Linked DNA regions of Arabidopsis thaliana. The protein of the gene in region 1 interacts with the protein of each later gene in a pairwise test. Each region holds a gene or a part of one and is shown on either strand. Other genes may lie near its edges.

Region 1 (3,887 bases):
AGTCTTGATGAACCGAACACTTTTGCTGCTAGGATTCACAGGATGTTGAAGTTGGGTCTGAGTATTGATGAGGATGAGAACGTTGAGGAAGATGGTGATATGCCTGAGTTGGAGGAGGACGCTGCTGAAGAGAGCAAGATGGAGGAAGTCGACTAAGAGATGAAGAAATTGCTCTTATGGTTCTGAAAACTTCTAATATGTCGAGTTGTTCTGAGTTTTAAGATTTTCCAAAATGTCTTTGTCTTTTTTTTTATATCTTTAGAGTTACTTGAACATTGTGACTACTTCTAGGGTTGGGTTTGTGTCAGGTCTGTTATATCGTGTGGTGGGTCTGTCTAATACTGATTCAAGTTTTTGTTATTCAGCTAAGGAACTTTTCTTGTTTCTGAACAAATCTTTTGGTTCCCTAGAGTAAAACTTGACTTCCAAAAGATAGACTTCCTAAGATCACTGGAATAGATAGGAGTGACAACTTGACGTGAAAGGTAGCTTGGCTATAGTAATTTTAGATCTGACAAAACGAGATCAAGAAGTTAATAATTTTCACAACACCAATTTGTTATCGCTTAAAGGTTGATTGATTTGTTCAATAGGGGGAATCATATTCTCGCATGCTCGAAAAGGGGAGAGAAGATGGAATGAACATAACTTTAAATCGGATGTTTGATTCAACAACAAAACTAAACTCAGATAGAGATTATGAAGGATTCCGGAATCTGAATTACAAAAGCAAAATTTAAAGCTGAAAACTCCTCCATGGTCTTACTGTCACCTAAAGACATTTCTTTTTCAAGGCAAACCTGAACCAGATGGTGCAGCTGCGCTGTAGCCACCAGCACCACGGCCAAAACCACGGCCACTTCCCTGATAAACAAGAAAGGATGTTAGAACAATGGCAACCAAACAAAGAGAAGGCGGGTAAATCAAATCACAAGGCAATTATATAACTATAGACTTTGAAACACTTCACAGCTAAAGTAAAAGATTTATGTTCCTTGTAACTAAAGTGATAAAGAGAGACTAAATATGTTCATGGTTTCTCAGGTTCAGGAGCTCTATGATAAAGACTTCAAGAGTAGCACATTATATGACGTTGGTGAGATAGAGAAGTAAATAGAAGGTATGGTCAGTGAGAATTTACTTGGAAAGATGGCTGGTAATCTGCGGGAGCTCCACCCTTTTCACCTCCAAACTCACCACCAGCTCGAGGACCTGCACGGTACCCATCACGGTCACCAAACCTGGGACGGTCTCCTCCTTCATGGCGAGGTCCTCTGAAATACAAAGAAACCCAAACCATGTCAAACAAATTAAAAAAAAAAAAAGTTTTTGCCAGACATGAAATGGGTTAAGCAAAGAGTTAATCACCTTGAGCGATCACCAGGTGGGCCACCAAATGGACGACCACCAGGCTTAGCTGACTTCTTCAAAGTAGCAGGAACAACATCAGATGGAAGATTAAGATAAGTTCTCAAGAACTCGATCCCTTCATTGGTCAAAAACCAATAGTAATGCATCCAGGCAAATGTCTCCCTAACATACTCCTTGGATTTGAAACTCTGCATAAGCTTAATCACTTGTAGGTTGGGGACATCGATCAACGGATGCTTAGCAAGATTGAAATCCTTCTTCGCAAAGCAAACTCCTTCTGCAAAAATCATAGAACATATGATAATCAACACAATGTTCACCTTCTAAGCCAAACATCATAATTGCTACCATAACTAGTTAACCTAAACTAGTTCAAAAATCACAATGTTCATCGGCATAAGCCTAAAAATGAATCAATTTACTCACAGAAGCTGAAGAAAACAGAGATCTAAGAACAAATTTAAGAAGAACGAACCTTTGAAGAGGTACTTGCAGATTTCTTTGCGGTTAGCCTCTGAGATAATCTGAGAGCAAGAAGGAAGAAGAAAATGGTCAAAATTCAACGAAACAACATTCTGAGACACCGGAGAATATGATGAGAATAGAGAAATAGATCAAAAGCAGAGCTTGTGTGTTACCATTGTATCGGTAGGAGATCTTGCTCGAGCAGAGAGTCGCACGGAACTTCGAGAGAGCAAAAAACTAGGGTTTTCGCAGGACTAGAGAAGACGATGACTTTATATGCTTTGTTTTGGGCCTATAATGAGTTCATTAAATATGGGCCTTAAGTTTGGGCAGTATCGGAGACTGAGAAACTCAAAATGATCTTGTCGAATTGAATTAAGAATTGGGGGTTTATCAAATTATTTGATGATAACTATATTTAATATTTTATTAACCAATACTTACACTCGTTGTATTTATATTTACGATGGTTTATCCTCTCTTTTTTGAAAAGTTTATATCTTGTAAATTTTGTGACATACGTTTAAATATTATTTACTATAACTTTGATTTTTTTTTTTTTTTTACTATAACTTTGATTACTTTATATATTTTTATCAGATTAGTTAATTCTATAAATTAACATATATTTTTATTAATTACATATATTATCTTGTTAAAATAATTTCCAGTTTAATTAATTTATTTGCTCCATATTGTAACAAAAAAATCTTTGAGAGATAAATGTATTTTTGTGTTGTTTCAACAAAAAAAAAAAGAAGATAAATCTATTTTTGTGTCAAAAATTTGTTATGAGAAATTGTGACATATGTCGAAAGAGATTGTGAAATTGAGAGATAAATGTACTTTTATAGATTATTTAACAAAAAAAATCAATTTTCAGTAATATATATAGAGGTTGATGAGCAAGCGAGTTTGTAATCACATTCTTGTCCATCATCTTCTCTTCTCCTTCCAAACTTTTGAGTTTTTCAAAAAATGGTTAGTTATTTTTCTTAGTAAACCTATTTATGTGGTTATATAATAAATTCACTAAAGCTTTAGTTTTATTTCATTGTTTGTAGTCGATGACGATTGTATTCAAGCATCCAGGATATCCCGAAAAAAAATGGCGAAAAGGATTCAAAATTGCAGGTGGTTTTCCAGGTACAAACCTACACACACCCAACAATTATATTCAACAAACGAATTTTGAACAATGTGAATGATTGTCATCTTTTTATTATTATATTAGGAGTTGATGTCATAAGTTGTGGTATCATGGACGACGTATTTGCAGTGAAGGGAGAAAATATTGATCAAGATAAGTTACTGGAGAAAATAAAAAAGGTTTTAAAATCTGTCGAAATCATTGATCACACCAAATACCCTCCGGATTATTTTTTCTATGATTTCTAATAATGATGTTTATTTTTCTTTGGGCAAATAATGATGTTCATTTATGTTTTCATATTCTATCAAAGTAATTGGATTTGGTGTAAGTCTTAAGATATATTAGTCCATTCTTATAAGTTGTAAGTTATAAACTTTTTGTTCAAGAAGATTGATTTTCCTTGGATGCATAGTCGAGAGTATGCCACTAAAAATAGCTTAACCATATTGGTCTACACTGTCACCTTATTTCTTCCTCTATAAACGAATTAAAACGAAAGCATACAACGCTATTATGAGATTTGATTTGGTCTCCCATCAAAGAGACAGATACATACTTTAACAAAAGCTCAAAACAAATTTGAGAGAGGGAATGGTATATGATTACAATTCTTGTTTAAAATATGATTAATAACTTCTTCTAGAAAATGTTTTATATGCAAACCAGTCAAACCATCATTTGATTTACATCTATTTAGAAATGTATTTATCTATTTCATCACTAAGAATGTGTTTTATCACCACCTCCAAAATGTGTTTACAAACAAATGAAGCCAACTACAAATTATTGATCTTGAAATCTGTCGAAATCATTGATCACACTGAATACCCTGCAAATTATTTTTTTTATGATCTCTAATAATGATGTTTATTTTTATTTTTTACTTTTATTTTTCTGA
Region 2 (5,568 bases), on another chromosome or scaffold:
TAACATTTGTTAAAGACTTTAGTTGTGTTGCTTTGTGACTGGCTGAGAAAAAACTATATAAAAAAAGGATTATGCATTGTTTTAATAATGCTTAAATCTAGTCGTTATTTAAGTTTTTTGATTTGTATATTTTCTTTTTGCTTTTATATCATGATGTATGTATACAATTTTAATATTTGTAGTAATTATTAAGTATCAAAACCCGACTTTTGTACTTAGCATGAACGATTGAAATATGATTTGATTGAGTATCAGAGTATATATATGGCAAAATTTTGGTCCGAATCAAGCTTAAATATTATCCTTTTTCAAATTTTCATTTCTATATATTTTTTTGCTTTTATGTCATGATGCATGTTTACAATTTTATTATTTCTAATAATTATTAAGTTTTGTCAAATAAAAAACTTTATAATATTTTATTTTAAAATCTTTATTTTTTTTGAAGAAATCCTCTTAAAGTCTCCACCACCATTGGACAATAAAAAATTGTAAAGATTCAATAAAAACTCTAAACTTTAAATTATTTAATATTTATTATTATAAAATGCAAAGAGTTCTTGATTAAGACTCTCCAATAGACTTGCTCACAGTGACAAGTAAACATATTTAACCGCCAGTAATTCTACATATCCACAAAAGAATCATACAGATTAGGCTTATAAAGTTAATCAAAGCTTTATAAAATTACACCTTCCATGCATGTAGATGTACCAGCAACGATTCCTGCGTTCTCCAGGAGTTTCTCTGTCAAGGACCAGAGCCTGACAACTTCTGTTTTTACCTCACCAAGACACTCATTACTTCCTTCTGAATACCCTCTCTCTGGCATTACAGTGTGAGTTGTGTCGGCCTCAATGCTCATGTCAGCTTGAGTTAACAGTTCCGTGCTCATTTTTGCAAGCTTCTGTAATGCACTGGTCGCAGCTTCAACTTCAAGGTTAGCTGCCTCAAGCTGAAGCATCTCTATGGCCAGATCACCCATTGTTTTTTCCCCGACTCTCTCTTGTGCCAAGGCATATAGCACTTTCAAATCTTCACTGTCATTGATCGTTTCTTCTTTCAATTTCTTGAGTTCCTGCTCCTTGGCTTCTAATCTTCCCATGACCACGTTGATCTCTTCGTCTTTAAATGTCAAAGCCCTCTGCACCGCTAGAACTTCCATTTCTTTCATCCGTAGATTTTCTCTGGTGAAGCTTAACTCCATCACCAGCCGTTTGTTCTCCATTCCGTAATCATCATGAGGTTTCTCTAGTGGTTGCTGCATTGAGTCAATGCTTATCTCATTGTTAATCCTCATTGCATTCTGATTTTGACCGTTGGTGGTTGACATAAGCAGTCTGTTCGTCAATTCTGCAATTCTTTCCACCACCATTTCAGCTTCAGTGACTTTCAGCTTGGAACTGCCCAACTCACCTTCTATTCTGTGAAGGTGGACATCTTTCTCCTTCAGCATCTCAGTTGCCTCCATAAGCTGATCTTCTCTACTGATCATAAGTGCCTTTAGCTCTGTTACCTCCTGGTTCACTTCTCCCAATTTATTTCGAGCTTCAGCGAGTTCTTCATCCTTTTCTTGCAGTAATAGTTCTAGAGAAGCCTGTTCGGACTTCAGATGCTGAATCTCTAGTTTGGCCTCCACCAAACTTGACTCTTTCTCCTGAAGTAGATTTTGTGATACCTGAAACGCATTAGCTTTTTTGTAAAGCTCATCTTGAATAACGGATATATCATGCATAGCTAGCTCCAACAATGGTTTCTCTTTCTGCAACTCCTCTCGTAAATCCTCCAGCAATTCTTTTTGGACCGATATTTCCCGCTCAAGCGCAAAATTTTTAGCCTCAACAACTCTGAGCTTTACTCTCTCACTTTCAACTTCAGTGTGCGCATCCCTCAAGCTTTGCATATATGACAACACACTTTTCCTCTGTTCCTCGAGTTCCTCCAATTGTTTTTCCAATAGTAGCTCTTTTTCTTCCATTTGCTCCCTGGAAAATACCAAAGCTTCCCGAGAAGAAATAAGCTCGAATCTTACATCAGTCAGAAGCTTTTTCACTTTCATGAAGTCCTCCATGGTTTCATTGGCTTCTCCTAAACGTTTCACGGTTTCCTCTTTAAGCTTATTCACTTCATCCTGGGCTATCAGCCACTCTTCTGTCTGTTTCTTCAAGTTGGCTTCTGTTTCTCTAAGCTTTTCTTGTTCAAGTTTCTTCGTAGCCTTAGAAATCTCTAATTCTTCTTCCTTCTCCTCAAGAGCTCTCTGAAGTGCATATATTTCACCTTCTTGTCTCTTGACAACTTCGTTGGCTTTGCTTAAGAGTTGTGACTTGCTTTCAAATTCAGAAATAGCCATAGAAACCTCCTTGCTTCTGTTTGCAATCTCTTGACGCATCTTCTCTAGCTCTTCCTCTTTCAAAGTCAAGGACGATTGCAAAGCAGCACGTTCCTCGTCTCTTTCCCTTAGCTTATGCTTTAACTCTTCTATCTCCCTGGCTTGAGAAGCTAACTCCACATTTGCCCGCTTCAGCTCCTCTTGTAGACTCTCATGCTTCAACGAAGCTTCAGAGATTGTTTTCTCACGTTTTTCTAACTCCTCCTTTGCCCGGTTAAGTTTATTTTTGTCAGAGAGAAGCTTCCTCTCAGCATCGTGCAGGTCCTCTTCCCTTTTCAACAAGGCCACTAGCGCAGCCTCAAGGTCAGACTCAAGCACGCCAAGGTTTGAATAGGGGAGATCATCATCGTCAGGATAAACCGAGTGTTGATTGGTTTGTCTCTCCAATCTGTGTGTCCGAGCAAATAATTTATCGAAAAGAACATTTGCAGACTCAGCTGAGCCATTGTCGTTGATGTTGGGTCTTGTATTGTGCAAGACTGATTGAACACTCAGTAAAAGATGTCTCTTTCTCCTTGTAATGCTCGGGAATGCGACAAGACTCTTCTGCTTATGGTTTACTACTCTTGTCAAACAATACTGCATAAGAAAAAATCATATGGCCGACATCAAAATCAAAATCAAAAGTTTGATTATTTTGGACAGACACTAATCAATATGGATGCAAGCAAACTTATTCAAATTAAAGGAACAGTATTGAAATTTGCAATCTTTTTAAGCCAGAACAAGGAACAATCAGAACAAGGCCAGCAAAAGTCAAAAATTCAAGTTTGATAAAGTTAAGAGTAAGTAAAGTGTTGTGAATCAGCAGCGATATATAAATGAAAATATAGGGGATAATATAGAGAAAGGTAAGGAAACAAACATCGCAGGGAGAGGGAGAGGAGAAGGAAGCAAGATTCAAGCGAATGGCCTGAGAGAAACCCATCCTGAGAGCATAATTATGCAATCGCCATGGAGCTTAAAGACGGAACAAAACCCAAATCCACTGGATCAAATTTAACAAGTGGGCGTTTTGGAGAAGAATGCTTACGAGAACAAATCCAAGGAAGAAGAAGAAGAATCTAGCTAGGGAATGGATATTGTTACAAAATTCTTTTACCAAAAAAAAGGATACAAAATAATAAATAGAGGCTCGCGTTGGCTTGCGAGTTGTGGTCGCCAGTAAACTCGAAAGTCCTTTTTGCCCTTATTCATAAGATGCATGTCGGCATTGTCCAAATACACGGCCAAGGGATCTATTTGTAAAAATAATGGACTCTTCTTAATTACGTACGTGGTAACGGTTTTCTAGTATGACAATTCTCTTTCTTTCGCGTAGTCGGCTAGTCGCGTGGTTAGAAATGCTTACACACTAAAGAGTATGTTATATTAAACTGGAATATAAATTTAAGAAACTGAATAAAAGTCATCAGGCCCATGACATTGGCCCAATAGACCCAATGAAAAACCAATCCATCAGCTAGTTTTCTTAACATATCAACCCAACGAGGTTGTATCTTGTTACATTTGCAAGTGAACTTTTTTATCATTAAAAAATGTAACAATGGTATTTTTGGTTTAGTGTTCCTAAAATATTTGTTTCCCACATAAGATTTTATCTACACCAAATAGTCCAATTGTATAATATAATCCATCTTCACAAAAGCATTTTAAAGGATATCCTACCTTCTAAATTCCGGCGAAAAATATCTTAAATCTGAAAAAGTGATTTATCGTGAATAGTGTAATGTTAGCAAAATCTTAAACTTCAAAAAATCGTAAAACATAAAGAATTAAGTGTGACGGATTAATTAAGATATCGAAACCAACACAGTAATCCTCATCTATGACTTGGAAAAACTCATAAGTGGCAAGTGGAGTTCGAGTTTGGTCATTATTGTGAAACACCAAACCTAATCCACTTACAAATTCATTAAAAACTACAAATTTGTGTGGTAGTTTTTTTTTTTTTTTGGGAAATTTATGTGGTAGTTAATTAGTTAACAAACAATTATATATAAATACAAATTTTGTTTGGAGTTAGGTCCGCTTCAGCCTGCTTAAGCGATTCTAAGCTTAGTCGTATAATCGTATTAGCAAAAGCTCGAACAGTTTACTTCTTTACCCTGGAAAGTCTTATCATCATCAGTTCGTGTCGTTTGACTTTTTAAACTTTGCAAGGAAGGGTTTTGTGGTGGTTTGGGAGAATTAGGCAATTGTTGGTGATCCGATTTTTCTGGGTTTGGTTGGGTTCCTTTTTTATTTTTTAATAAAAAAAAAAAATGGCGGGTCAAGAGGATGAGTATGATCCAATTCTTGACAATAAAAGAGAAGCTGAAGCAAAATCTCAGGTTTCTGTTGCTGCTGATAAAAATATGGCTCCTTCTACTTCTGGTACTCCGATCCACAGATCAGGCTCTAGACCTCAGCTTGATCTAAGCAAAGCCGAAATTCAGGGGAACCTCGAGGAGAGAGATCCCACCATTTTATTGCCTAATCAGTCTGATGATATCTCTCATTTGGCTCTTGATATCGGAGGTGACAACAAATTTCACTTCTTTTTTATTTTCACTGTAGTTGACCATTGATCTAGTGCTTGTGGTTCTTCCAGTAGTATTTGGTGTCACTTCTTGGTTTTGGCAATTTCGATGTTTATTTCTTAAGTGCTATGTTTGAGAATTATGAACCCTTTTAAGTTTATTTGCAGGTTCTTTGATAAAGTTGTTGTATTTTTCACGACATGAGGACTACTCTAATGATGATGATAAGCGGAAGAGGACGATCAAGGAGAGATTGGGTATTACCAATGGCAACTTGAGAAGTTATCCTGTTCTTGGTGGTAGACTTCATTTTGTCAAGTTTGAGACTCACAAAATTAATGAGTGCTTGGATTTTATTCATTCCAAGCAGCTTCATCGCCGAGGTATTATTACTTTTATCCTTTTCAGTGTATGAAATGTTGTTTTGTATTATAAGATCAATTTCTGGTGATTTACTCTTCAATTCGTCTTCTTCTCCATTTCTTTTCAACTAAATGAATAGATCCTTATCCTTGGAGTTCAAAGACCTTGCCTTTGGGGACTGGTGTTATCAAGGTAATCGCATTTTTATGACTTGATTGTTTTTATCTTTATCACCTTTTGAGGCTCCTTCTGCATATATTTAGCTCGCTCTTTCATTTGAGATACCAGATAACA
Region 3 (4,123 bases), on another chromosome or scaffold:
TTTCTCGGCAATGATAGTTTAAAGGATTTGTCGAAGTATGAAAACCATCTTCGCAATTCTGCATCCGTTTCCGGCTTTGTTCCGATCACTAGCTTCGTATTGTTGTTACTATCCTTCTTCTTCTTCTTCTTCTTGTCCCTCTTCCTGGTTTCTCGCCTACGGTGAGATTTCTCCTTCCTTTGCTTCATCTCACGACTCGCGGCGGATAACGCCACAGACAACGACGATAGATTGATTGAAGTATCCTTTGCAGCATCTATGGCCTCGATCGCTTGCTTGAGAGAGCTGAAATTGAACGGAGAACCACCGTCATTGGTCCGCCGTCTTGTTGTGGCGGTGCTTCTCTTAGTTTCCGGCTTCATTATGATCAATTACAAATTACGGCTACACTTTTTTTCTTTTCCGAGACTTAGGGCATTTATATAGTCTCACAGACTCACTTAAAATGGGCCTTCTAGCAGCCCAATAACAATTTTGCGTCACGAGAACGCGCACAGGCAAACTATCTGAACCTAGGTGGGGAAACACGCCGATAGGATTCAAGAGGAAAAATACATTATTTTGGGAATACAAAACCACATAAATATTGAAGAAGCTTTATAATATAACCAAGTTTGGTTGATATATAGTTTGGAGTTCACTTTATTTTCTGCTAAATTGATGAGATAATAAAATATACAAACCAACACCCAACCGAACACATAAGATTGAAGAATCAAAAGTTGGAGACATTGGCGCGATCAAAGAAAAGACCAGATGGGTCTCCATTAGGGACCAAAGCCAGTTTCACTGGACTCGCTGCACCTTCTTCAACGCTCAAGATCCCAGTGTTGAAATTGATTTCTGTGTTTACGAAACCAGGACAAACACTGTTGATGATGAACGATTTGTGTCGCTTAGCCAATACTCGTGTCAATGCGATCACTGCAGCTTTCGATAGTATGTATCCAGACATCACTGTTGGCCAACCTTTGACTTGTAATGCACCTTCTTTGTAATCCTTGAGGTACTCATTGATCACTTCATCTATTTTCTCTTCTGTTAGGTTCTCAGCATCACTCAGCACTCCTTTTGCCCATTCATTTGAAACATTCTGCACACAAACAAGATTCATCCTTTACCCAACACCAAAATACGAGAATTAACCAGCCAAAGAGTCAATTTCATAAACGATCCCTTCCTTTAAGTTTATTGACTAGAAGAAATCAAGATGGTACCTCTAACTTTCCCATGGTGGAAGCGATGCTGACGATTCTTGGGGAATCAGAAGATTGAAGGAGAGGAATCATGGCCTCGCACATTCGCTTAACGCCGTAGTAGTTTGTTTTAACACACTCCTCGACTATCTCATATGTATCACTCATTATCTTGGAAATATCAGTTGGCGCACCAGCCTGCACTAGTAGTCATTTATATGTAAGACCACCTCTCAAGCTTGTGCAGTATATATTTCAAAAAGGTAAGAGAAAGTAGGAAAGTGTACCTCAGCAATCTGAGCTTTGAGAACATCAACATTAACATTCGCCCCTCCAACTCCGGCATTATTAACCTGAAGACATATATACCAAACAAGAAATCAGAAAAGAGTAGACAGAACAGAATTGCTATTTTCAGATAATGCTCGCTTAAGAGTTATATCCTTTCTAGTTAACATGTATGTATCCTAGTCGCAACAGACAAGAAGTTGTTGAAGAAGTATCTCAATCCCTAAAAAGGATCAGATCTTAGTTAAGAAATGTGATCATGGAAAGGGAAGTGCAGCTACCTAATAAGATCCGACAGTGAAACTGATTAAAGCCACGATTAGTAGATCTAGATTGATGATAATAGGAAAAGAAAAGAGAAACTTGCCAGAATATCGAGTTTGCCGAAGCGGGTCTTGACAAAAGCAGCAAGAGAAGCGATGGTGTCTGGGTTGGAGACATCAAGAGGGTGAAAGGAGATGGCTTGATCAGAAAAACCATTCTCAGTCTTGAGCTTTTGGACAGCAGCAAGACCCTTGTTTTCATCTCTCGCAGTTAAAACCACAGTTATCCCATTGTTAGCTAGTTGCCTGCAAATCTCAAACCCAATCCCTTTGTTGGAACCAGTAACAACTGCAACTCTGGAGACAAACAGGAAAAAGAAAAAGGAACAATCAAAATCTGAAAAAGATTTCAAGCCGAGGTTAGACAGAGAGAGAAGAAGCATGAACCTTGGGTCTGCCATTGAATTGTTGAAAGGACAGAGAAAAGTCAAGCCTCATGCTGTTAACTAAAAAAGTATATACAAAAAAATAGGGATAAACAAGTGTGTGCACATGGAAGATTAGACACCGCTATATTTCTTATATTTTTTGATAAGACCAATATTTCCAAATTAGCATCAAAGGAGAATGGATCATCATTATAGTATATATTAAAAAAAGTGAAAGGAGTTTTTTCAGTGTCATACTATATTTATTTAGTCACAGACTAAACGTTTTAACAAGAAGAAGCGTGACACTTGCTTAATTAATGCAACTTATTTAATTATCAGTCTCGTTTTAGCCTTTAGCATTGATAGCCCTAAGAAAATGCTATCAGTGTGGAGGGTCCAAAGCTATTGGGCTTAAGCCCACAAATCAACACGAATTGATGCATTCTTCTTTTTAGGCTTTCCGCTTGGATCGATTCCCAAGGGAATATGTGAAAACATAACAAACCGAAAAATGTAGGAAAAAAGCAGCATACATATTTGCTACTCAAACTCAACTAATTTGTATGCGCATCTAGAAACACTTTTCAACACAAAATATAATATTAATAAGAAATATCCAGCAAACATTCGTTTCTAAAACATAGTATAGAATTAATTTGAGTTCATAACATATAATTCTCATAGAATAGAAAGAAGTGCATAACATATAATTCTCATATAATAAAAAGGAGTAATTATAATCATCAAAATCTTCGGAAGTAGACCAAATCACATGTCTTCTTCAGGCTCTGCAACATCATTTTGTCCTAAATGAAACCAGAAGAGTAGACAAACAATACACTCGCACACGGAGAACCCAACCATAGCTAGAATTGGCACTATTGGATAGAGCACAATAAAAGCCCTAAATTAGACAGCAGAGGAAAATTTAACGTTAGCAGAGACGGTACGGACTGAGAGTCTCCGGTGAAAGTTTGCATAGTCGACATCGTTGAAAGGGAATTCAGACTGAGATTCGTCGTTGGTGAGTGAGACGACAGTGGAGAGAGATTAGACAGCAGAGGGAGATTTGACGTTAGCATGGATGGTGTAAGTGTGCAAGAGCTAGAGAATCCCGAGGTATAGTGAGAGATTTTGCATAGTCGACGAAGGCGTTGAAAGAGAATTCAGACTGAGATTTGTCGTTGGTGGCTGAAACGACGGTGGAGGGAGATTTGACGTTAGCAGGGACGATAAGGATTGAGAGCCTCTGGTGGAATTTTGCATAGTCGACGGAGGCGTTGAAAGAGAATCCATGACTGCTATGTTTTGTTTTTTTTTCTGCGAATAAACGAACAAATACTGTACAAAAACCAAACCCTTTCTCTCTTCAAAAACCCTCATGCTTCTCTCTTAAAGAAACTTAGTCGCCGCTGATTGTGTTATCGGTTCTGGTGGCTCTTTTAACACCAAAATCGGAATTTTTTAGTTTTTTCGAGCTGTATTTTCGTTTGCCTTCGTTTATGCTACATATAGTTTTTTTCTTAACATATATGTCAGTACAATGTAATAATTTTTTTTTTTAGTTTTCTCGTAACATGTACCCTACTACTTTTTTTTTCCAACAGTTTATCATATACTAACTCTTTATGTAAACTCGCATGTTAATCATAAAAAAAACATTAGTTAAATATTTGACCTCAAATATAATAATGACATGCACAGTACATTGGATATATGTTTGGATGTTTTTATAATGTTGAGGTACTTGTGGTTTCGGCAAATGTGATTTGGTGGTCCCTTTTTGGTCAGCGTTATTCTTGTTAAAAATCTCTCTTTTGGCCCTTTCCTTTGTTAAAAATCTCTCTTTTGACCTAAATAACGTTTCAAATATATCAATATATATTATTAACAAAAAAAAAAACAGTTGCTCTGATGAAGCTACAAATAGAAATGGCCAAAAGAG
Region 4 (6,497 bases), on another chromosome or scaffold:
ACAATGACTTTATATTATTTTAAATTAAATATGCTGTCACTGTATTACGGTGACGGAGTATCCCTTTACAAGATTCCGCTTGGGTAATCGACACGGTCAATCAATCAATCACACATAAATAACACAAGAGCAAACACATGGTAAAGAAATTGGCATCAAAAAAGAAAATAATATGGTAAAGATGTTTCAATTGAAATATAGTTACATATAAATTGAAATACTACGAAATACATGCAAGGCAAAACAGCGAAAACTGTTAAAAAGTTTATTTGTCTAGAGGTCACAACCATGTGTTGTAAACGAAATATTACTATGCAGCTCGATGTGATTTGTTCTGACCTAACCAGACAAACAGACAAATATTTTCAATCCCCCAAAATTTCTCCTTTTTCAATACTTCTATAAGAGAAGTTCCCTTCACCCACGTCACATGCATGCACAATACATACTCGGTATAATAGACCCATCTTTGTATCCTTTTTTTTTTAATTATGCTTTTGTGACTGCGTCAATTTCAAGATGCTGTAATGTGGAATTACGAATAAGGATTGAAAAAAAAGTTTTATTTAGGGTTCTGACTCTCTCTTATAATTAGGTGCTGAGAAGCTACAGACGACGCAGTGATGGGAAGCTGTAATAAGAGAATATTAAAGCAAAAGAAGCAATGCCTACGAATTGTCACTCCTCCTTCTCTTACCCCATCAAACCAAAACCAACTACATTACAATTCACTACAAGACACCATCAATCTCACAGTTTTTCTCGTATTTCTCTTTTTCACCCTTTTACTTCTTAAATTACATCTGAGTCCTCCTCTGGCCTCTGCGCCTCTGCCTTTTTAGATCCCATTTTACAACTTAGCTCATAAACCGACAACAGTTTATATAATGCATAGTTTAACTAAACTAACCTAAGATTCTACTGTATATTACTTTGATTTAGCTATTTTTGCTTTCTTTCTTTCAATGAAAACATAAATAGTAGTTTGGTATAACACAATGAAACATTTGTATAGTAAGTGATCAGGACGATGCTTTCGTTTTCTTTTCACGTCCTTTGCTTTGTGAACTATCCTTTAACCATGTACTGTTTACCTTCTCAATCGTCTTCTTCTTGCGCACCTGACCCTGGTTTGCGGAACAGGCTCATCATCTGACTAATTAATTCCTCGAACGACGGTCGTTTTGCTGGATCACTGTTTCAACAATTTAGAACAAAGAATATAAGAAAAATCGCCCCTAAGTTTGTAGGGTGTATTTGATGAAACAATTTACAGATGCGTCTTCTTACGTTTGCCAACAATCCTGTATTATGGATGCGATCCGGGGATTTAATCCTTCAGGTAAGTCTAATCGTCGATCCATGAAACCAACAACTCCAACAACCTAATTTAAAGTTGCTAAGATTACTACAATCTTATGATCAAGCTATAATCTCATAAGAACAGAATTTGAGAGGTACCTGAATAGAGTTCAAACGGTCCCATGGTACTAACGTAGTCATTAGCTCCCATAAGATGACTCCAAAGCTGAACACATCACACCTATTACAACGAAAGCATTGAGCTTTTAGTCCAAAAAAATGTTCAAGTTATTGAATAATGTCTTCGAAAAGAGAACAAAAAAGGGTTAATATTATATCCAACGTACTTCTCATTCGAAGGTTCACTTCTGAGAACTTCAGGAGCCATCCACTGCGGCTGCACATAGAAAAAAGTTGAACAATGTTTAGTAACAGAAATCCAAGACTGTTTTGTGGATTAAAAGAATCAGAAATGGCTTTTGTTAAACATTACAGTTCCTTTCCCGGATTTAGTACTCAAGAAGGTTGCGTTCTTCCACTTTGATAACCCAAAGTCTCCAACCTAGGGAAGAAAGAGTTGAAAGTCCATGCAATAGTAAACTCATTTTACAAGTCTTCATAAATGTAACTTGAGAAAACTGTTTGTACCTTGACATTCCAGTTCTTGTCCACGAGTAGATTGGAAGATTTCAAGTCTCTATGTACAATTGGCGGATTTCTGCGGTGTAAGTAATTCATTCCCCTAGCCTGCAACAACAACAGAGAACCCGAATATAATCAGCCTTTCATATTTTTTTCTTTCATTGTGAGGGAGGTTTTTGGAAGATCAGAGTCTTACAACATCAAGGGCCATTCTTAAACGGCGTTTCTTGTCCAATGGCTGATTCGTATTATGAAGTATTTTGAAGAGACTCCCTCTAATCATCAAAACCGTATAGAAATAACTTAGCACAGAGTATTCATCTGCAATTTCTTGCAGCATAATATAACACACTCGATAAGGAGTAACACTACTTCCAGATCCATACGTCAATAATCTCACCTTGGCATATATTCCATGATTATGGCAGATTTTTCTTCTGTACATACTGCTCCCATAAATAGTAGCACATTCGGATGTCTCAGTTTCTTCATAATGTTGATCTGAAGATATTATTGATCAAAACTGATTTATTTTGTCTGGTACGAGTAACTTCTAGAAACAATTCATAACAGAGAGAACTAATTATACATACCTCCTTTTTGCACTCCGTCAAAGTCATCGCATTGTAATCACCATCGAAGTAAACCTTAATAGCAACATCCTGGTCCAAATAGATTGGACTAGTTAGTTATCCATGTGCAACTAATACTAGAATCATCCTTATTTTATCTTAAATTACAGAAAACTCACCGATCCATTCCAAACTCCACGATGAACCGCAGCAAATGAACCTGTGAGAAAATGTAACGCATCAGAAATACTTGTAATCTGATTTAAACAGCAATGACACAGATCTGAATTGAATTTGCATATCTAAAACGTGAAAACGAGTGTAAGACTTTGGTAAATGAAATACACCTCTTCCGACCTCCTCCCCAAGTTGTAGATCTTCCCATCGTATCTCACATGACGAATCAGTAACTAATCTATTATTCCTTTGGTTGACAGGACTTTGTTGCCTACCGCTGTTGACTCCTAGAATTGGCAAGGGATCAACACTAAGACGAGTATTCCAAGCATCTTCTATCTCACCATTTAGGTCCGACATTTTTGTTCCCCGCATGCCAGACACCAAACCACTCTCTAGTCCTCTGGGAGGTTTACTTTGTCCCAGGTTCCCAATATACTGAAAGCGATCTCCATTATGTATCAAACCCTCAGCTCCATTTCCATAGACATCTGAAATTCTAACTTCAGCCCTTTTTGGTTTTCCATTGCCATTGTCTCTGAAAGCCGTGCAGGTAACTGCATTAGAAGCCTTAGAACTACCTCCACTGCCACATGCTGACTTATTGATACCGTTTCTTAAGATAGGCTCATTATCTTCGGTTCCTTGGCTGCCAGTAATCTTCCTTTGCAGCTTCCCCAAAAACTTATCCGCCTACACTAGTGTATATGCAGATTTAGCTTATAACATGAGACAATAATCGTTCTAAGAAATGTCAATGAGAAGTGTCTTGTTTAAGGAGCCAACGAAGACTTACCAGTGAGCCATACTTCTCGAAAGTTGTGGAGGCAACAACCGGAACATTTTCATCTCGGCTCCTCGAATTATGATTTCCATTGAAGGAATCATCTCCATTTCTCTGTGGTAGAAGCTTCGACGCCTTCTTGGTTTGTGCAGAAAACAGCAAAACAAACAATCATTCATGTTGCACACGAATTATTATATAAAAAAAAGTACTGAGAAACTTCGAACATTCATGATGTGAGATCTACCAGGTTTGAAGCAACAGCTGATGAATATTGTGGGACAACTGGAACCTGTGATGCTGCAGCGATCTGAGGCCTCGGGAGGTGCCACTGATGTTTTCTCAAGTTTGATTCATGTCTATTATTACTACGAGCTTGTTGTTGATGCTCATTACTTAGTGGATGCATCCTATTGAAAAGGGTTGCATCGCTCGAGACAGTAACAACACCAACCAGCTCACCGTTTTCATACACAGGGCTTTTAGTCACCAAAGCCATAAATAGTTCACCAGTTTTCTTCTGAAACGGAAACTGACCAGTCCAAGTCTCTCCACGGCACACCCTATTCCTGATACCAGTAAGGGAATTACGGTATTCTTCGGTTACAAGCACATCAATAGTTCTGTAGCCAACAACTTCCTCAGCATACCAATGGTACAGATTCTCAGCAGAACGACTCCTGAATAATAATAAAAGAATCTCTCCACTCAGAAACAAATAGTAAATGTCCACTTGCATATACAATGAATCGCTATATATAACTTTGTTTAACTACTTAAACACACAATTCAATGAAACAGTACTTAGAAGAACTATAAGCTCCTGATCTACAAACACCATAGATGAAGAAGAAGAACTTATCAAGCTCACCAGAATGTAATTTCTCCAGACGCAGCTGATGTTACATGAATCGCGTGTCCCATTGAATCCATCAAAGTCCGATACGCACTATCAGCGAAATAGAATCCTGAAACAGCTCTCTCCCAAGTCGCCGTCGGATTATCCCAGGAATCCGCCGCCTCCGCTTCCACCTCTACCTCAGCCTCTTTCTCCGTGTCCGTCTCCAATCCCGTCGCCGATTCCTTACCGGTTCGACTCTCCTCCTGAAGCAATAAGTCATCAACATCCTCCCTTAGTCTCGCTTGACTCGTCTCCATCCTCTGACACCACTCCACCAAAACCTGGTAGAGACTCGATTCCGAGTTGTTTCCGGCCATCGTAATCGCCGGTGACTCTGTTTGAGCAGTCGCATCAAGATCCGACTCTGATGAAAATTCACAAATTAAAAATATAATTTAAAACGTTGGCATTCCCTCATTGTTTATTATTTTTCAGCTGCTTCTTAAATCACTCGTGACGCCATAATTAACAAACCCCAGCTATTATAAACACTACGACGCATTAGCTTACGCCACGTGTGTTTGTTACTAATAGGATGCTGCCACTTGTAGAATTGCCGATGTAATTGAAGGTTGAAGAAGATTGAGAGATAATAGACGAATTTGTCACGATTTAAAAGTGGTGATTGACGAAATTAACCTCAATATAATACCCATTCTTGTTGCCGCCATTGCCAAATGGGCCTGAGTTTGATGGTGTTTTTATACCTCCAACGGTATTTGTCAAGAAGAAAATAAAATACACGTCTCTTCAATGTTCACATTCACATTCCTCTAAAAGTAATGTGCCCAATAAACTCAAAGTTCAAGTTGATTGAAGAACAATAACAATAAATTATAGTTGAATTTAAATGTAATCAATTATTAGTAGTATACTTCAAATCATTGTAGAATAATACTCTCCATAAGGTTTCTTAGAGGAAGCAAAGTTTAATTGGAGTCACAAAGCTAGTTTTGTTTCAATTTATCTAAAGATTTACTTTGTTTCTGGGACACAAACTGAAAGCCAACCCTTTTTTTTGGACAAAAACGACAATTCTTATATTACAAACGGCCGAAAGAGAACATGACAGCTCCTTTAAAGGCACTATATAGAGGGAAGATTGGGATGATCATAAAGTGAGGATATCTTTGGATATTTTAGTTTTGGGTTTGGTTTTGGTTTTTCGTTGTTGGACCGAAAAGCCTTTACATTTTAAGGCTTATTTCCATATTTACTGTCAAATTGACAAATAAAATATGTAATTGGTGTGAAAAAAAATAAATTATGTAACTTTTTTTTTGTACATTAAAAATTATCTAACTTTTAATGTATATACACTATAACAATTAATATCATGTTAAAAAAAAAGGTCAAAAAGTTCTTGGCTAGTAAAAACTAAAAAGATAAGTTTAATCCACTCTGAATTTGACTCGAATTCCAGTTTATAAAATATAAAGACTCTGAAAAAAAAAATCCAATTTCAACTGAATAATTATTTATTTAGTTATTCAGATTAGGACACTCCATATATTATCTCAAGTTCTCTGAAAATAATATCTTGAATATCACCGAAAATATACAAAAAGAATAAAGAAAATAAAGTTTAAGAAAATCCACACCAAATAAAAAAGGAGAATTAAAAAAAATGGAAAAGAAGAAAGACCCTAAAAAAGGCTTTAAAAATCTTAAGAGTCACCGATCCAATTCCTTTCTTCACTGCAATTTTTGTGATTTACAACATATATTAATTCTTGCCTCCTCCTTCACTCCAGCTCCAAACACAAATCTCCGACGAAAAACTTCTCTCAAGCTTTCTCTTTTCTAATGGCGACACCTACTCAGGAAGCTATTGACACCTTCATGACCATCACCGGCTCTTCCAATGCCGTCGCCGTTCGTAAGCTCGAGGTGATTCAATTACACTTCCCTGGGTTTTTTCCGTCTTCCTTCTATTGTTTAGATGTTATTTTGTTTTTGATTGAAGTATTTTTGGAAGTTTCTCGAATCGCTCAAGTGGTTGTTCGTTGGATCATCGAATTATATCTCCTCTACGCTTTTGTTATATCGTTGTTAAGCTCATCTTGATGCGTTTAGGTCGCAATTGGAGTTAATTGTGTTGAATTTTAGTTTATCCGAT

What was found.
Region 2: the proteins of AT5G52650 (region 1) and AT4G32190 interact in a two-hybrid assay, tested with the Arabidopsis thaliana proteins (one large-scale study listed by BioGRID).
Region 3: the proteins of AT5G52650 (region 1) and AT1G01800 interact in a two-hybrid assay, tested with the Arabidopsis thaliana proteins (one large-scale study listed by BioGRID).
Region 4: the proteins of AT5G52650 (region 1) and AT4G23050 interact in a two-hybrid assay, tested with the Arabidopsis thaliana proteins (one large-scale study listed by BioGRID).

The regions. Positions count from the first base shown.
Region 1 is NC_003076.8:21,354,992-21,358,878, forward strand, and holds AT5G52650 (RNA binding Plectin/S10 domain-containing protein), read right to left. Parts: upstream 2,229-3,887; 5' UTR 2,013-2,228; coding exon 2,010-2,012; intron 1,896-2,009; coding exon 1,847-1,895; intron 1,649-1,846; coding exon 1,369-1,648; intron 1,275-1,368; coding exon 1,142-1,274; intron 865-1,141; coding exon 790-864; 3' UTR 550-789; downstream 1-549. Other genes in the region: HSP90.1 (heat shock-like protein), read left to right, coding at 1-156; AT5G52655 (uncharacterized protein), read left to right, coding at 2,815-2,817, 2,901-2,982, 3,071-3,234.
Region 2 is NC_003075.7:15,542,801-15,548,368, reverse strand, and holds AT4G32190 (Myosin heavy chain-related protein), read right to left. Parts: upstream 3,570-5,568; 5' UTR 3,318-3,569; coding exon 3,255-3,317; intron 2,969-3,254; coding exon 680-2,968; 3' UTR 512-679; downstream 1-511. Other genes in the region: PANK2 (pantothenate kinase 2), read left to right, coding at 4,654-4,909, 5,079-5,294, 5,414-5,466. UniProt on the Arabidopsis thaliana protein: Required for the initiation of starch granules biosynthesis in leaf chloroplasts. Involved in determining starch granule number and size in chloroplasts.
Region 3 is NC_003070.9:291,481-295,603, reverse strand, and holds AT1G01800 (NAD(P)-binding Rossmann-fold superfamily protein), read right to left. Parts: upstream 2,359-4,123; 5' UTR 2,209-2,358; coding exon 2,195-2,208; intron 2,105-2,194; coding exon 1,852-2,104; coding exon of another isoform or gene 1,848-1,851; intron 1,550-1,847; coding exon 1,484-1,549; intron 1,395-1,483; coding exon 1,218-1,394; intron 1,094-1,217; coding exon 716-1,093; 3' UTR 518-715; downstream 1-517. Other genes in the region: AT1G01810 (uncharacterized protein), read right to left, coding at 1-362.
Region 4 is NC_003075.7:12,078,310-12,084,806, reverse strand, and holds AT4G23050 (PAS domain-containing protein tyrosine kinase family protein), read right to left. Parts: upstream 4,748-6,497; 5' UTR 4,696-4,747; coding exon 4,349-4,695; intron 4,158-4,348; coding exon 3,725-4,157; intron 3,616-3,724; coding exon 3,490-3,615; intron 3,387-3,489; coding exon 2,864-3,386; intron 2,737-2,863; coding exon 2,696-2,736; intron 2,607-2,695; coding exon 2,538-2,606; intron 2,446-2,537; coding exon 2,345-2,445; intron 2,220-2,344; coding exon 2,141-2,219; intron 2,050-2,140; coding exon 1,951-2,049; intron 1,865-1,950; coding exon 1,796-1,864; intron 1,700-1,795; coding exon 1,650-1,699; intron 1,544-1,649; coding exon 1,462-1,543; intron 1,386-1,461; coding exon 1,291-1,385; intron 1,196-1,290; coding exon 1,099-1,195; 3' UTR 551-1,098; downstream 1-550. Other genes in the region: AT4G23040 (Ubiquitin-like superfamily protein), read left to right, coding at 6,185-6,268.